Caenorhabditis elegans: one gene and its partners. Each later gene encodes a partner of the first gene's protein in a complex. Each region holds a gene or a part of one and is shown on either strand. Other genes may lie near its edges.

Evidence for each region.
Region 2: mdt-15 (region 1) and sur-2 share a complex: the UniProt entries of both Caenorhabditis elegans proteins name them as parts of the mediator complex.
Region 3: mdt-15 (region 1) and mdt-18 share a complex: the UniProt entries of both Caenorhabditis elegans proteins name them as parts of the mediator complex.

Annotation. Positions count from the first base shown.
Region 1 is NC_003281.10:5,829,571-5,835,504, forward strand, and holds mdt-15 (Mediator of RNA polymerase II transcription subunit 15), read right to left. Parts: upstream 4,176-5,934; 5' UTR 4,088-4,175; intron 3,944-4,087; 5' UTR 3,907-3,943; coding exon of another isoform or gene 3,814-3,906; 5' UTR 3,768-3,813; coding exon 3,712-3,767; intron 3,489-3,711; coding exon 3,265-3,488; intron 3,215-3,264; coding exon 2,724-3,214; intron 2,652-2,723; coding exon 1,497-2,651; intron 1,147-1,496; coding exon 829-1,146; intron 751-828; coding exon 652-750; 3' UTR 555-651; downstream 1-554. Other genes in the region: R12B2.13 (uncharacterized protein), read right to left, coding at 3,814-3,906; R12B2.6 (uncharacterized protein), read right to left, coding at 4,452-4,583. UniProt on the Caenorhabditis elegans protein: Component of the Mediator complex, a coactivator involved in regulated gene transcription of nearly all RNA polymerase II-dependent genes.
Region 2 is NC_003279.8:14,784,750-14,789,584, forward strand, and holds the start of sur-2 (Mediator of RNA polymerase II transcription subunit 23), read right to left. Parts: upstream 3,055-4,835; 5' UTR 3,048-3,054; coding exon 2,937-3,047; intron 2,872-2,936; coding exon 2,678-2,871; intron 2,594-2,677; coding exon 2,212-2,593; intron 1,214-2,211; coding exon 950-1,213; intron 895-949; coding exon 722-894; intron 1-721. Other genes in the region: F39B2.3 (15-oxoprostaglandin 13-reductase), read right to left, coding at 3,469-4,020, 4,216-4,298, 4,382-4,733. UniProt on the Caenorhabditis elegans protein: Component of the Mediator complex, a coactivator involved in regulated gene transcription of nearly all RNA polymerase II-dependent genes.
Region 3 is NC_003279.8:6,492,268-6,495,775, reverse strand, and holds mdt-18 (Mediator of RNA polymerase II transcription subunit 18), read left to right. Parts: upstream 1-1,928; 5' UTR 1,929-1,944; coding exon 1,945-1,989; exon of another isoform or gene 1,990-2,031; coding exon 2,032-2,106; intron 2,107-2,159; coding exon 2,160-2,275; intron 2,276-2,328; coding exon 2,329-2,393; intron 2,394-2,444; coding exon 2,445-2,731; intron 2,732-2,780; coding exon 2,781-2,891; 3' UTR 2,892-2,954; downstream 2,955-3,508. Other genes in the region: uri-1 (Unconventional prefoldin RPB5 interactor), read right to left, coding at 1-229, 287-1,132, 1,176-1,289, 1,415-1,447; dbr-1 (Lariat debranching enzyme), read left to right, coding at 3,050-3,223, 3,347-3,508. UniProt on the Caenorhabditis elegans protein: Component of the Mediator complex, a coactivator involved in the regulated transcription of nearly all RNA polymerase II-dependent genes.

The DNA of each region.
Region 1 (5,934 bases):
ATAGAAGGGCAAGCTGATGATAGGAGGAGGAGGCAAAACAATCATTTATAGAGGACAACAACAACTGAATCCATTCCACGAAGACTCGATTTTCTTTTTTGTACAGGTTTTGTGCAACTGAGCAATTCAATTCAGACGAGGCGGAGTTTAGAACGGATTTGACCTGAAAATTAGAAAACATTGATTGAGAAGAAAACAGTTTGTTTAAAAAAAACTGTCTTCTAATTTTTTTAAAGGTTTGCGTTTTTAAAGAGTACTGTAATTTTAAAATCATGTTTCAAATCATATTAATTGTGTTTTCATTGTCAAATTCGGGTATTTTTTTTAGATTGACAGGTATATATTTTTTTAATCAAAAAACGATGAAAAAATAGAGTACTCTTTAAAGACGCACATATTTTCGCATTTGACCAACATTTTTCGTGTCGAGACCGGTTACCGTAATTTTGGTGAAAAATCGTAAACTTTCGCGTTTGAGTAATACTTTTTGTAAAGTTATTACAAAAATTAAAACTTTCCGGAATTTTTTCACTTCCAACTTTATTTTATAATGTTTTTCATATTTTTTATTATTTTACAAAAATAAACATTGAATAACAAAACTTTTAGTGAGCAGGCACAAAAAAAGAAACTTAATGCACTCTACCTAACTTACAAGTTAAGATTATCGTAGAAGAAATCGTTGCCCACGTTGAAAGCGACGTCTAGACCACCGCTTGTCTGGTTTTGGTATTGATTCACTTGTTCTTCCTGTAGAAAATTATAAATTTAAAATTCAATTTGAAGTGCAATTTTCATAAATTTCCCTTTCTCAGCGAAAGAACTTACCCAAGCATTCAAATAGTCAGTAATTGACGAAAGACCGGGTCGTGATAATCTCTCATATACTGAATTTTGTAGATCATCATACAAATATGCATCCAAATCAATGACTGCTCGATCTACAGTCACATTTCCAGCTGGATAAGTGGTTGGAACAACGAGTCGAAGTGGTGGGAACTGTTGATTACGGATTTTACAGACGACAATGATATGATTGGCATCATGACGTTGATGGTTTGGATCAATCTCGAATCGAGCATCAAGGATTTGAAGTTCCTTTCTTGCTGTTTCATTGAGATTTGATCGTTGAACTGGTGGACCAGCCTGAATATTTATTGATTGAGATTATTGATTGGCTGTTGATTTTTTTTTTGTAAAAATAGATTTTTTGGTAATCTTGTTGGTTTTTTCGGACCAAAAAAAGAAAAAAAAACTGAATTGCGAAAATGTTGATTTTTAGTCGGGAGAAGAAAAAATACGAAAATGTTTTGTTTTTGGTCTAAAATGTTTTTGGTGTCCCTGTTTGAGATCAGAGGTTTTTCGTTTTTCGATTTTTTTTTTCGTGTTTTCGGCGACACAATTATTTTTCACTTTTTTCAAAAATCATTTGAGGATACTTTGTGTGTTTTTTTTTTTTGAAAGCTGAGAAACTCAATTTTTAATATAAAACTTACATTCATCGAATTCTGCCCGACGTGCAATGTTGGCTGAAGTGCATCAATCGGCGTTGGGTTTGGAAGGAAATCATCATAGTTCAGATCATCAAGTCCTGACATTCCACCCATTGATCCAGGTGTTCCCATTTTTTGATTCGGTGTACCCATTGGATTCATTGAAGGGGCTCCAGAACTTGGACCTGACATACTTGATCCACTCATCGAATTACGATCTCTTCCAATTGGTCCAGGACCATTTGGCATTCTCATATTGTTTCTCATCGCTGCAGGATTCGGGTATGGAGCATGACGATGATTGTTGACTGGTGATGTCATCGGATCGTGTCCCATATCTCCACGATACATTCCATGAACTGGACCACCTCCACCCTGCATCATCATATGATCCTGTGGCATCATTCGTTGCTGCTGTTGGTGTTGCTGTTGATGCCACATTGGTGGTTGATGCATTTGCATATGTGGTGGTGGAGGTCCCATATACTGCTGATGTCCATAACCTGGATGTCCTCCGTAGGGATTTGGCACCTGACCATTACCCAACATAGCATGTTCACCGTTCATCATCGGATCGTTCATTCCCATATGATTCTGATTCTGTGACATTGGAGCAATATTCAAGAAGTCTTGCTTTCTGGCAATCCACATCTCCAAATGGTTCAAGTATTCAAGGCTAACCACACGTTTTCCTTCGAGCACACTGAGCATAACCTCAAGCTTGTGAGCAGCTTCATGGTTACCCTCATGTCTGCATTGCCTTGCTCGTGTTCTCAAACTGTCGCAGCTTCCACGCATATTTCTCAATTTCGCAGAATACACGGTTTGATCCTCGGAACTCATCATTCCCTGGTTTGGAACCATTCCGGGTCGTTGCTGTTGCTGCTGTTGTTGTTGTTGTTGCTGTTGTTGGGCAGCTGCACGTTGAGCAGCAACATTTCGATCTCCAGGTGGGCCCATCTGATTGTGATGTCCTGGATATTGTTGAGGCTGATTGATAAGTGATTCAAGAACTGATGAAGGACCGGTTGGAGTGGCTCCTTGACCGTTCATTGGTCTTCCAGGATATCCATGTGGTTGTTGTGGTGGCATTGCACCCCATTGTGGTTGTTGTTGATACATATGTGCTGAAGGATCCCAAGGACGAGCTTGATCCATCTGAAAAAAAAATTAATCAAAAATTGAAAAATTAGCAGATTAAAAAAAAATACATTTGAAAAATAAACTCACATCCTTTTTAATCTGCTGATTGTACGGATTTCCACCCATTGGAGCACCACTACCAGGTGGTCCATTCATCATACCGTAACCACCGTATCCATTCGGTGGTCCACCCATATTTGGAGCACCCATTTGCGGTGGTGGCTGACCCATTGCTGGTCCACCATTCATCTGGCTGCTTCCATTTGGGAATGGAACATTTGGTGCCGGCGTCGGACCTCCACCGGGTGCCTGTGATCCTGGAGTGATCTGTCCACCTGGACGAATACTTGTATCTGGTGATGGAAATGAAGCAACCGCGGCGGCAACAGCAGCAGTGGCAGAAGCTGATGGAGCAGGCAATCCTCCTGGCGGATTTGGTGCTGATGGAGTTGTTGATGCCTGTGTTGTTGCTACGGTAACAGGTGGATTTCTTGCCTGAGCTGATGTTGGTTGTGGATCTGGAGGCACAGGAGCTCGATATCCGGGTGTTCCGCCAGCCGGAGTGTTTCCTAATAGAGCTAATTGAAATTTTAGATTTTCGTTGCCACAAAAAACTACAAAAAGTTACCTGCTGTCGTACACGGCGGACTATGAAACTGTGATGGTTGTAACACGGAAGGCACTGCCGCTGATTTACTATTACAATTGATAGCATTAATCACTTTTGCGATCGTCCTCATATATTCGTCCTTCGACATACACTTTGCGAACACATATTCTTCGACCTGCCTCGCGTCACCGGGTACTGGTAAATTTGGGGCATTCTGCCGGTTTCTCGCCAACTCAGGCTCACTGAAAATTGGAAAATTTTTATATTTCGGGATTTTTTTTTCATTTTTAAAAAGAGTACAGCCTGGATACATTTGTGACATCAGCTCCTATGGTTTATAATTTACAAATACTTGGGAATTTATCAAAATTTTGAATGGAAATTTTTGGAAATTTTCAACAAAAAAAAAATTTTTTAAAATGTTTTCTCGGTTATCAAAAAAATATTCCTTTAAAAAAAGCTTACAGTCTCTGAATAACATGCTCTCGAAATTTCGGCGAAGGCCAATCCTCTTCGCTCATCTTTCTACTCTGCTCTTGTTTTTGAAATGTTGCTTTTGCAAGCGATTCAACAACCGTCGACGTCAACGTGGCGGCGGCTTTCTGAGCGTCTTGATTCACACACAATTATCGACAAGAAGGAAAATGAAGAACAAATCAAAACGACGAACGCGGCAAACGAAAAATAACGACGATTCCTGCAAAAGAAATAGAATAATGGATGGTTGAAAGTGGGGAAAAATTGTCACTTTTTGTATTATGGTGCATCGATCTATTGTGATTCAACTTTCAATTCACAAAAGATCAGGATGGAAATATCAAAAAGTTCCCCATTTTCTCACCTCTTGTTCTCGTCAATAGTCGACGAGCCGGCAAAATTTTCGGATCGCCGACGGCAAAATCACTTTTTGATTCGTTCCCCGGTTTGACCTGAAATTAGGAATTGAAAAAAATATTTAGCGATGTTGAACGAAGAAGAGATTAATAATAAAGGAATACGGATAAGGAGACGGATAAGGAGAAAAAAATAAACGGAGTTGAGAGAGATAAGATATCCCAAACGCTTGAAATTAAGAAAGAAAAACAAATAAAAATAGGCAATTATGAGATAGAGATATTCTGTAGGAGAAATGGACCAGAGAGATAAGATATTCAGAACGCTGAAAAACGTTAAATTTTTTAATGGAAGATATGTGGTGGTTAGTATTATTTGGAAGATTTGGTAAGTTTTAAAAAAACTGAAAAATGTTTGAAATTTTCAAACAAAAAGTTCACTTTCACATCAAGATGTGAATTGTCTAGGTTTGCTCCGTGCAGCATCATGTTCCGCGAGTCCATTCGGGCATAACGACGCAGGCAATTCAACGAGAACCTGGAAAATTTAAAAATTAAATGTTTTGTGTATAAAATTTTGTAAAGCAAGGGGACATACATTTCGCGTCAACGTAATTCTTCTAGTTTTTGACAAAAAAACGGCACCCGGTCTCGACACGACACTCTCTTGATGAATGTGAAAGGTGTGCGCCTTTAAAGAGTACTGTAACTCCAAACTTTAATCTCAGTCGAATTTTTAAAGATTTTTCATTGTTTTTCGATAAAAAAATATATTTATGAATTTATGGGAAAACTCAATGAAATGAAAATTTGAAATTACCGCAGTAATGAAAATTTGAAGTTACCGAACTCTTTAAAGACGCAGACCTTTCGCAGTTAACAACAATTTCTGTCGTGTCGAGACCGGGTACCGTATTTTCGGCGCAAAAATTGTAGAATTAATCACAACATTTTTTTGTTTTAAATTGCTCTAGAACGCTGAAATATGTTCTTATCTTATGGAACGTTTTACCGGTCTTATCATTCCCGAATAATTTTCATTTTCTTACAAAAAAAACGAATTCCGTTTTCCGCCTAACAAAAAATCCATTTTCGTCGCAGAGAGAAAACCAGCTCAAGTGCAAGAAATTAGGCAACCTTCCAGCACCACAACACATGTGTGAAGTGCCGGAGAGCGCGCGCGAAAAAAGACGAAAGGGAATTCGGTTAGCGCGCACTGGAAAGTAAACCAATTACACGTGTGTTGGAAGGTGTCCGTCCACAATTTTTACCTGCTTCAAGTCGAAATAGACGGCAGTATCGTCAGGTGTGAGGAATGTGATTGCTTTTCCATGTTTGCCAGCTCGACCTGAAATTTTGGAAAGAATTATCAGATGTTATCGAGAATTAAACTAGAAGTGTGGAAGATTTCAAATATTTAGCTTCAAAATTTAAGAAAAATGTGCACTTTTTTCAATTTTTAAAAGAAAAACTTCTGATTTCAAATTATGAGAGCACCAGTCAAGCTGGGAGCCTAAGATATCGTATTAGAACTTATGGGTCAAAATAAAAACACAAAAATACGACACTGCCAAGTGCAATAACAATGTGAAAAATCAACGCAAGAAGAAAAAGAAAACGAAAAGGGGGAGCAAATCATTTATCACCAAACGAGCGTGTCGACGAAGCAGCACCACCACGCGGTCGGTGAGCCAGATAGAGAGAGAGATAGAGAGAGAGGGAAAGAGCCCGAGCAACTGGCGACATTTTCTAACAGAGAGAGAGTTCGGTGCTGATTGCCTGAGCAAAGACGAAGGGCAGGTGCTGACAGGGAAATTCAGAATACCGATGGAAGCCGTATCGAAGAAGTAGAACT
Region 2 (4,835 bases), on another chromosome or scaffold:
ATAATTTTTCCAGATTTTCGAGAATATCTATTATCCAAAACTTCTCTTTTTGGATTTTTTAAAAGAAAAAGTTACAAGAAAAATTAAAGATTTTGGTTTTCAATTTTTCTAAATGTCGGAAATCTAAAGTTTTGTTTTTTGGTAAATTTTTTTTTAAAAACATTTCAAGAAAATCTTAAGTTTCGGTATTTTTTTTCGAAATTTTATTTAAGAAGTGAAAAATTGGATTTTTCTGGAATTTTCTAAGAATAATTGAAAAAAAGAAATATTTTGGTTTTTCGATTTTTTTTTGAAGGTCTAAAAGTCAAGAACATTCAGATTTTTGAAGAATTTTCAAAAGATTTTGTTTAAATTATAGCTTTTATCCTAAGAATTTTGATTTTGGATTTTTTTTTCCTTCAGAAATAAACCAAAAATTGAAACGCTTAGTTTTTAAATTAAATTATTAGCTCTACTTTCAAATTTCTGGCTTTTCAAGACAATTTTGAAATTCAAAACTTGTGTTTTTCAAATAGAATCTTTTTTTTTTCGATTTTCTCTTTGAAAAACCCAAAAATTTAGCTTTCCTGAATGTCGGAAATCGAAATGTTCGGATTTTTTAGAATTTTACTTTAAAAGTAAAAAATTGGATTTTTTTTCTGAATTTGCGAAAAATAATTGAAAAAAGGAATATTTTTGTTTTTCGGGTTTCGCAAAATCGAAAAATTTGAAATACACTAACAATAAATGTTGTGTAATCCCATAAATAACAATATTAACAATATTGTCCCATTGATATCGTGGAATTGGCTCAGTTTCCGGTAGAGATTCTGCTTCGGCCATTGATTCACATATCATTACAGATATCAACATTTCCCAATTTGTCTTTGTCTTCGTTTTGCTCGGAGGATGAAGCTGAAACTTAATTCGGGATAAGTTATTTAAAATATATATATTCTCAATTTCATACCGAGTCCTTTCCCAATGGCTGACGAAGAATCATGTAGAGGGTGTACAAGTATGTAGAAGTATGTTCAGGACGATATGGAAGTGTATGATGAGGTTGAACAATTGTATTACTGGCATTTAATCCATGTTCTTCCCAACACGATGTTAATGGATAGAATGATGGATGTAGTGGAATGGGGTAAACGAATCCACGGCCACACACGTGGGATAGGTCGGCAATTGGTCGGAAATGGACGGATAAGCTTGCCAGTTTCTCCGTTAGTCTCTGTAATATTTGGCATTTTAATTTAATCTTAAGAAATATAGGCTTGGTAAATGAATCGAGATGGGTCGATCCGTGACTCATCTCGAGCCGCTTTTTGCAAAAAAAATCCACAATTGCCGGAATTGAAATTTCCGGCAAATCAGCAGATTGCCGGAAAATCAGCAAATTGCCGAAATTTTTCGGCAAATTGTGGTTTTGTACATTCAGATAATTTTTCGTCGATGAAGGTGATTTTTCAGTCAATCAGCATACAAATCAGGGGTGTGTGGCAAACGATTTTTTCGGCAAATCGGCAAAGTGCCGGAATTGAAATTTCCGGCAAATCGTGAAACCGGCAAATTTCCGAATTTACCGGAAAAATACCAATTGTCGAAAATTTTTGGCAAATTGTGGTTTCGCACTAATTTTTTGGGAATTTCAGAATTGTACGCATCCTGTGAGTGTTTGAATGTTTTTTTCTACATCTTTTTTGAAAAGTAAGCAAATTCTATAAAAATATCTGAGGAAAAGGGAAAAACAGCCCAAAAAGTCACAGTTTTAAGTGTTTCAGTCTTATGAAAAAATCCCTCAAAACATTTGCGGAAAATTTAACATCCGGTAAACGGCAAATCGGTAAACCAGCAAATTGCCCGATTTGCCGAACGGTAATTGCCGCCCACCCTTGGTAAAAACTTCAAATAAAATGTTGAGAAACTGAAAATTTAGAAATCAGAAGAAATTTCCCGTCATTTTTTTATGGCTTAAATTAAGTTTTTTAAAACTTCTGTAGTATTCAATTTGGTTTACTTTCTGTAACTCAAAAACTAAATGCACAGAAATTAGAAACTTTGCGAGAATGGTCGAACTTTTTTTTGGTTTCCGCCAAAAAAAAATTCGACTTTTTGAATGTAGAGAGATCTTTTTTTTGTGTTTTTTTTGCCGAAAAAAAAAATTAACAAATCTAAATTTTTACATTGTCTTTATATTTTCAGCAATTTTTTTTAAAATTTTCCCCTCACCGGCAGCATAAGCGCCTGTTTCGGCATTCCTCTCATAATTTCTGATAATGTGATGAGTGGAGGCATCAAATTGGAGTCTCTATCCACAATATGCAGTATTACATTCTCAACAATGCGGATTTCGTTTACTTGCTCCGGAGATAGTGAATACGGTAGGCGACGGAGCTGTGATTCCAGAATATATCGGAGGATATTCCGAATTCCTTTGTAATCGATTTTTGGAATGCAATCATTGATGAATTTCCATTTTTCTTGGCATATTCTACTGCATAATCGGAAGTCCGAAGTCATTATGAGTCCTTCTGCGCACAGATTCGTTGAAATCGCACCTTTTTGATGAGCATATCGGAGAAGCTGATCTACGACACGTTCGTAGTTTGTTCTGGAATAAAACACTGTTAAAACCTCTGATTATATGCAAAAGAACTGTTAAAATTGTTTTTTTTTCGAATTTTTAAATTCTCACCCAACAAAAACTCGATCAGGAGAGTTCTTTTCCGCCACGTGATGAACCATTTTTATTAGCTCTTTCACTAAAGATTGTTTTTCTTTTTCTTCCATTTTACTCATCATATTATTGAATTGAATCCGTAAAATCGCCGTCTCGTCGCCAATATTCGACGTAAGAGGTCGAAAAAATTTTCTTGTGTGGTTTTCTTCCTAGAATATATTTTTATGAGTTATGTTTAATTTTTTAAGCGTTATTTTTGATTTAAAAAACTCACAACGAGACTTTTAATTTGACTCTTTATTCGATTGACTTCCTGAACAAATTGCGGAGAGCACGTGTCATCCATTTCAATTGTATCTTCTGCGGAACCAGGTTTATCCGTCATTTTGTTGCCTGAAAATGTAATAATTTTCAAAAGAAAAATGTTAAAATAATAAATTGAAACAAAATAGGTTGATAAAAATTAAAAACGCATTGTTTGAGAAAGATATTACTGCGCCTCTTCTCTCTCACGCGTGACAATAGAGCGCGCTTGGTGTGTGGTCTCTTCGTTCACGCATATTCTGCGGATTTGAACTCTACCAGAGTTCTGCGAAAAAACTACTACATATATAATACATTTCACACATTTAAATATCTTGACTTTTATTGTAGGTAAACTGACATTTGGACTGATTTGCCAAATTTCTGTTGAAAATCAGTTTCAAGAAGCTGAAATCTAGATTAATTTATTTTTTTCATATCTTCATAAAAAGTACAGTTTATTCTCATTTACATTCCTTTAAATGGCGTGTTAAAATAATGAATTAATGTTCGATTTGCACTACAAGATTTCCTTTCGCTCCCTTGTTGTTCATAATTTCCTCATGAGCCAGTCCTAATTGCTCGAGACGATACAATTTGTTTATAAGTGGACGAAACTCGGTTTCCTTCAAGAATGAGACAATGTTGATGCCAAAGTCCAAGAGCTCAGCCTCGGAAGACATTCCCAATGCTACACCGTAAACAGCTCCTTCTGTAACCATAAGTTGTCTTGCGTTGATCGTGGTCTCGGCGCGATTTCCAATTACTGCAACTCTACCACGTGGAGCCAGCAATCCGAGGTCCGTGTTCAGATTTGTGTGAGCAGCCATTTCGAAAATGTGGTTGAAGCCTCCTGGATAATCATTTTTCATTTTCGACACATATTGCTTATCCGAATGATTATAGACATTCCGTGCACCAAGACTCTTCACGAACCGGATCCCATCAGCAGATCCAGCAGTGCCAACAGCTTCAATGTTCCTCCAGGCAGCCAGCTGCATCAGTGCACTTCCCACTCCACCAGATGCTCCGTGTACAAGTATAACGTCGCCAGTCTGAGAAGAGAATTAGTTTTGGGAGGGAACAGCAGATGGTCGTATTTTAGACCGCCCCTTGTTTGAGATGGAACAGATGGTCAAGTTGGCTTTGTAAAGATTGATTTGTATTGATTTTGCCTCCTAATTTTGATACGTTTTTGCCAAAATTTTAATATTCTCTATGAACCATTTAATAATAAATAAAAGTCAAACCTTTGCACCAGCAAGATGAAACAATGCACGATAAGCGGTAAGATAAGGCACTCCGAGAGAAGCTCCTTCCTCAAACGAAACTCCTGAAATGAGATTTTAGCTATATCTTAGGTCTCGCCACGCGGGCAACTAGCTACAGTAACCCGTTGCGCAATGATTCTTTTACCTTCCGGCAACTCGAATGGTCGATTCACCGCAACATACTCTGCTGTACTGTCCGCTTCTGATCCATACCAGACTCGATCGCCGACTTTCACATTTTTAACGCTTTCTCCCACAAGTTCGACGAATCCGGCTCCATCTTTTCCTGGTACATATGGAAGATTTGGTAGTTTTCCATACTGACCAGCACGAATATATGTGTCAACTGGATTGACACCGGCAGCGTAATTCCGAACGAGAACCTGGTTTTTTTCAAGCCTGGGCATATCACTCTCGACGGCTTCTATGACATCAGGTGCTCCGAATCGTCGGACTACAGCTGCGCGCATGCTTGATTTGCAAATCGATTTGCTCATTGTTCTAAAAATGGCACTTATCAGTAATATGAAATGCGTACTCGCACTGATTAGGCGCACGGATTTATTCGGATGGGTCTCGCAGCGAGAAAAATGTTATGG
Region 3 (3,508 bases), on another chromosome or scaffold:
GAAATGTCATTGTGCTCATCGCAGCAAGTTCCTTTTGCTCGGGTTCGAGAGCTGAACGATCAACGGGTGTTGGTTCAGTGCTCCGGAGAATTGATTTGGTTTCAATAACTGAATCTTCTTCCTTGATTTCGACAGTGTCTGTTTGATGGAATGTTTTCACATTTTCAAGCTGTTGCGCAAATCGAACTCCCGATTTTTTCCGTTTGACGGTGGTTTTTGTTACGGTTTCCTAAAAATTGTGTGTTAAAATAATAGTGAATTGTTTCTATTTAGTATTTGAAATTACCTCAACAATTTCTTCGACCTTAATCACTTGGGTCTCTATCTTTTTGGATTTCAGTTGTTGGTCAGAATTATTGCTTTTCTCGATATTATCATCAGATGCATAATCATCAGAGTCGAGTTCTTCTACACTATTGTTAAGATTCTCTTCATCATCGTCTCCTTCCTCTTCATCTTCATCATACTCCTCATCGGAACTCTCTTCATCACAAGTGTCTAAGAAATCTAACAGCCGTTCCATTTCCTTCTGTGTTACTCCAGGTTGTGCCAGCAAACGTTCATTCATTCCAAATCTTAGTTTTTTATCAGTTGGATCTTGTTCAACTTCCTCAACTTCCTCTAATTTACCCAAATCCTGTAAATCTTCGTTTGAAACTTCAAAAGGTTTCGGAATTGGAGCTTCTTCCATCTCATCATTGTCTTGTTCCAGTTTCTCTAGTTCTTCCAAACGGTTCATCACATCGTTGTGATCTTGGTCACCATTCAATTTGTTCTTTTCTATTATCTTCTCGTTCTGTTCATCATTTTGAGACATCTTTTTGTTTTTGCGATTTTGATAAAACAGTTTTTCCATCTCTTCATCGTATTTCTCGACAATTTCGATAGGTCCTCCATCAATCGAAACAGATGAGAAATTATCTTGAGCAAACTTTATTTTGTCATCCAACATTCGAATTGAATCGAGACCTTCCTCACGCTGCCTTCTCATTTCAGAAACTCTCCGATCCAAGATCTTTTCAGCTGTATGAATGCTGCATTCTCCGTAATAGTTTGCACCCATTTCCATCGTAACTTGATTCGTGCGAACTACATGGGCACCGCAGAAATAACCGACTTCGCAAATTTTCGCCTAAAAATTAGAATAAGATTATATGAGAGAGAATGTAATTTACCAAAATAGGAGCTTCCAACTTTTTCGAATATTCCTTTGCTCGTTCCAGAACTTTTTCATAGTTATCAGCAATGATTCTTCGACATTCGGTCTCAACTTCGAGCCGAGCTTTAGCCTGAAAAATTAAATTCATACAGACTTAATTATTTTTATACTATTTTAGGGAAACAAACTCGGAATTTAAAAACGAATTATTTTTGTCTTGTCGTTCATAATCATGTAAAAGGATTTTTAATTTACCGCATTGCATTCTGCAACGTAGAGTTCGCTCATTTTTTCAGATAGGTCTTCTTCACTCGTCACAGTCATTTTCTGCAAATCTTAGAGAGGTAATTCGGAGCGGAAAATGGGAAAAAATGTTAAAAAGTAACAATTTCCGAAAGCGCAATTTAAAAAAGTACAAAAAAGTACAAACTTTTATGGAGACACTACTGATTTCTGGAATCTGTTAAATCTTAGAAATGAACTCTTTCAGAATTTCAAACTTCTTTTTTTATATGCGTAAAACTTATCGCATATATTTTATGCAATATTGAAAGTAAGTAGAGTTTTAACCATTAAAGTAACTGAAACCAGAGTTTTATCGTAAAAATGGTAAAATATTCGGGAGTGTTGGTTTCCCTGGAAATGAGTCACGTAGAGTGTGAGTCCGCAAACACCAGCTGTGAATTGCGTAGAATACATTTAATATCACGCTCAAATAGTTTTGAATTAATTTAATTTTTTAAAAACATTTTTTATTCTGTTTATTTAGTTGATTCATTCAAAATATGGACAATTTAGTGGATATTGATGAAGATGGAACACAAGAAAAGGTATTTCGATTGTTAAAATCCATCTAAAACATTTTAATTCAGCTTTCTGTGAATTCAACTCCCTATCAAACACAAGAATGCGTTCTTTATGGATCTATTTTCGCAAAAAATGTCCCAGTTAGTTTTTAAAGTAATTGGACTAAATTCTAATACAAAAGTTTCAACTTTAGGACTTGGAACGACGTTTAGCCGGCCTTTGTGATCCGGGATGTGAGGAATTCTTCGAGCATGAGATGTCATTCAGCCTACGATCTTCGGGTATAATGGATATCAAAACCGATATTAAGTAAGCTTTTTTGTTTATCTATTTAAATATTTGCATGTATTTGATTTTTGAAGATTGCGAAGAAGATTCCGAACAGAACATCGAATTCAAAATTATTGGCAATTAAAGTACATTGGAGGTCGGTTTTAACCTTATAATTCGTATTTTATAATTTTTTGTTTTATTTCAGTTCCGGAACCAGATCAAAAATGCCCAACTATTGTTCGAAAAGAAATCAGTTCACTTGTCCATTCTCAGGATATGATGACGTATGCGAAATCCTTGGGTCTCCGCATGGACTATGAATATATGACACAAGGAAAATTGTGGACAAAAGGAAATATAAAGATTCTGCACTCAATATTGACTAGTACTTCTCGCGCAGGAACATATGATTCAAATTCAATCAAATCTGTTTCTGATTCTGCGTTAGTGGAAATCAGTATCTCATTGCCCGAGTCTGCAGAATACATGCCGGTAGGTTTTTTAGTAATAATTTCGAATTTATTTTTTCAACTCATTTTAGGCTGCCAAGTCTCTTCGTGATTTTGCCGATCAGCTGATGCCACTTGTTAATATGGAAAAAGTCGATTACTGGAAGAAAATGTTCCCAGCTCAAGCAGCTCCTCGTCGTTAATCTTCATTAATTGATTGATCTCACTTTGATACGTTATTTAATTTATAAAATTCACGAAGTATTCAATAATGTTAATATCCCACAAAGCTTCAATGGTTTATACCTTTTATTTTCTGATATCAACATTAAACATTTTTTTACTCCAATGAAAATTTAGAATGTCATCGAAAAATCCAGTAGATGAGCAACCTTGCTGTGGCTCCCATGAAGGTTCGCATCAAGATCCTGCTCCGGAGACGTTAGTAGTTGAAAAAGAAGTTAACAATGGGGAAAAGAAAATACGAATTGCTGTTGTCGGATGCTCTCACGGAGAAATGGATGCTATTTATGAGGTAAAATTTAAAAAAAAATCATATTTTTCGAACAAAATTAATGGCATATTTCAGATCTATTTTCTCTATTAGATTGTTTTAATTGCTATTTAAAATTACAACTATTTAAAAAAAATATTTCAGACAATGACACTAATCGAACAGAAAAATGGCTACAAATTCGATTTGCTGATCTGTTGTGGCGATTATCAAGCTGTCCGAAACTACGGCGACCTTCCACATATGAGTATTCCACCAAAGTACAGAAGTCTTCAAACATTCTATAAATACTATTCTGGAGAACAA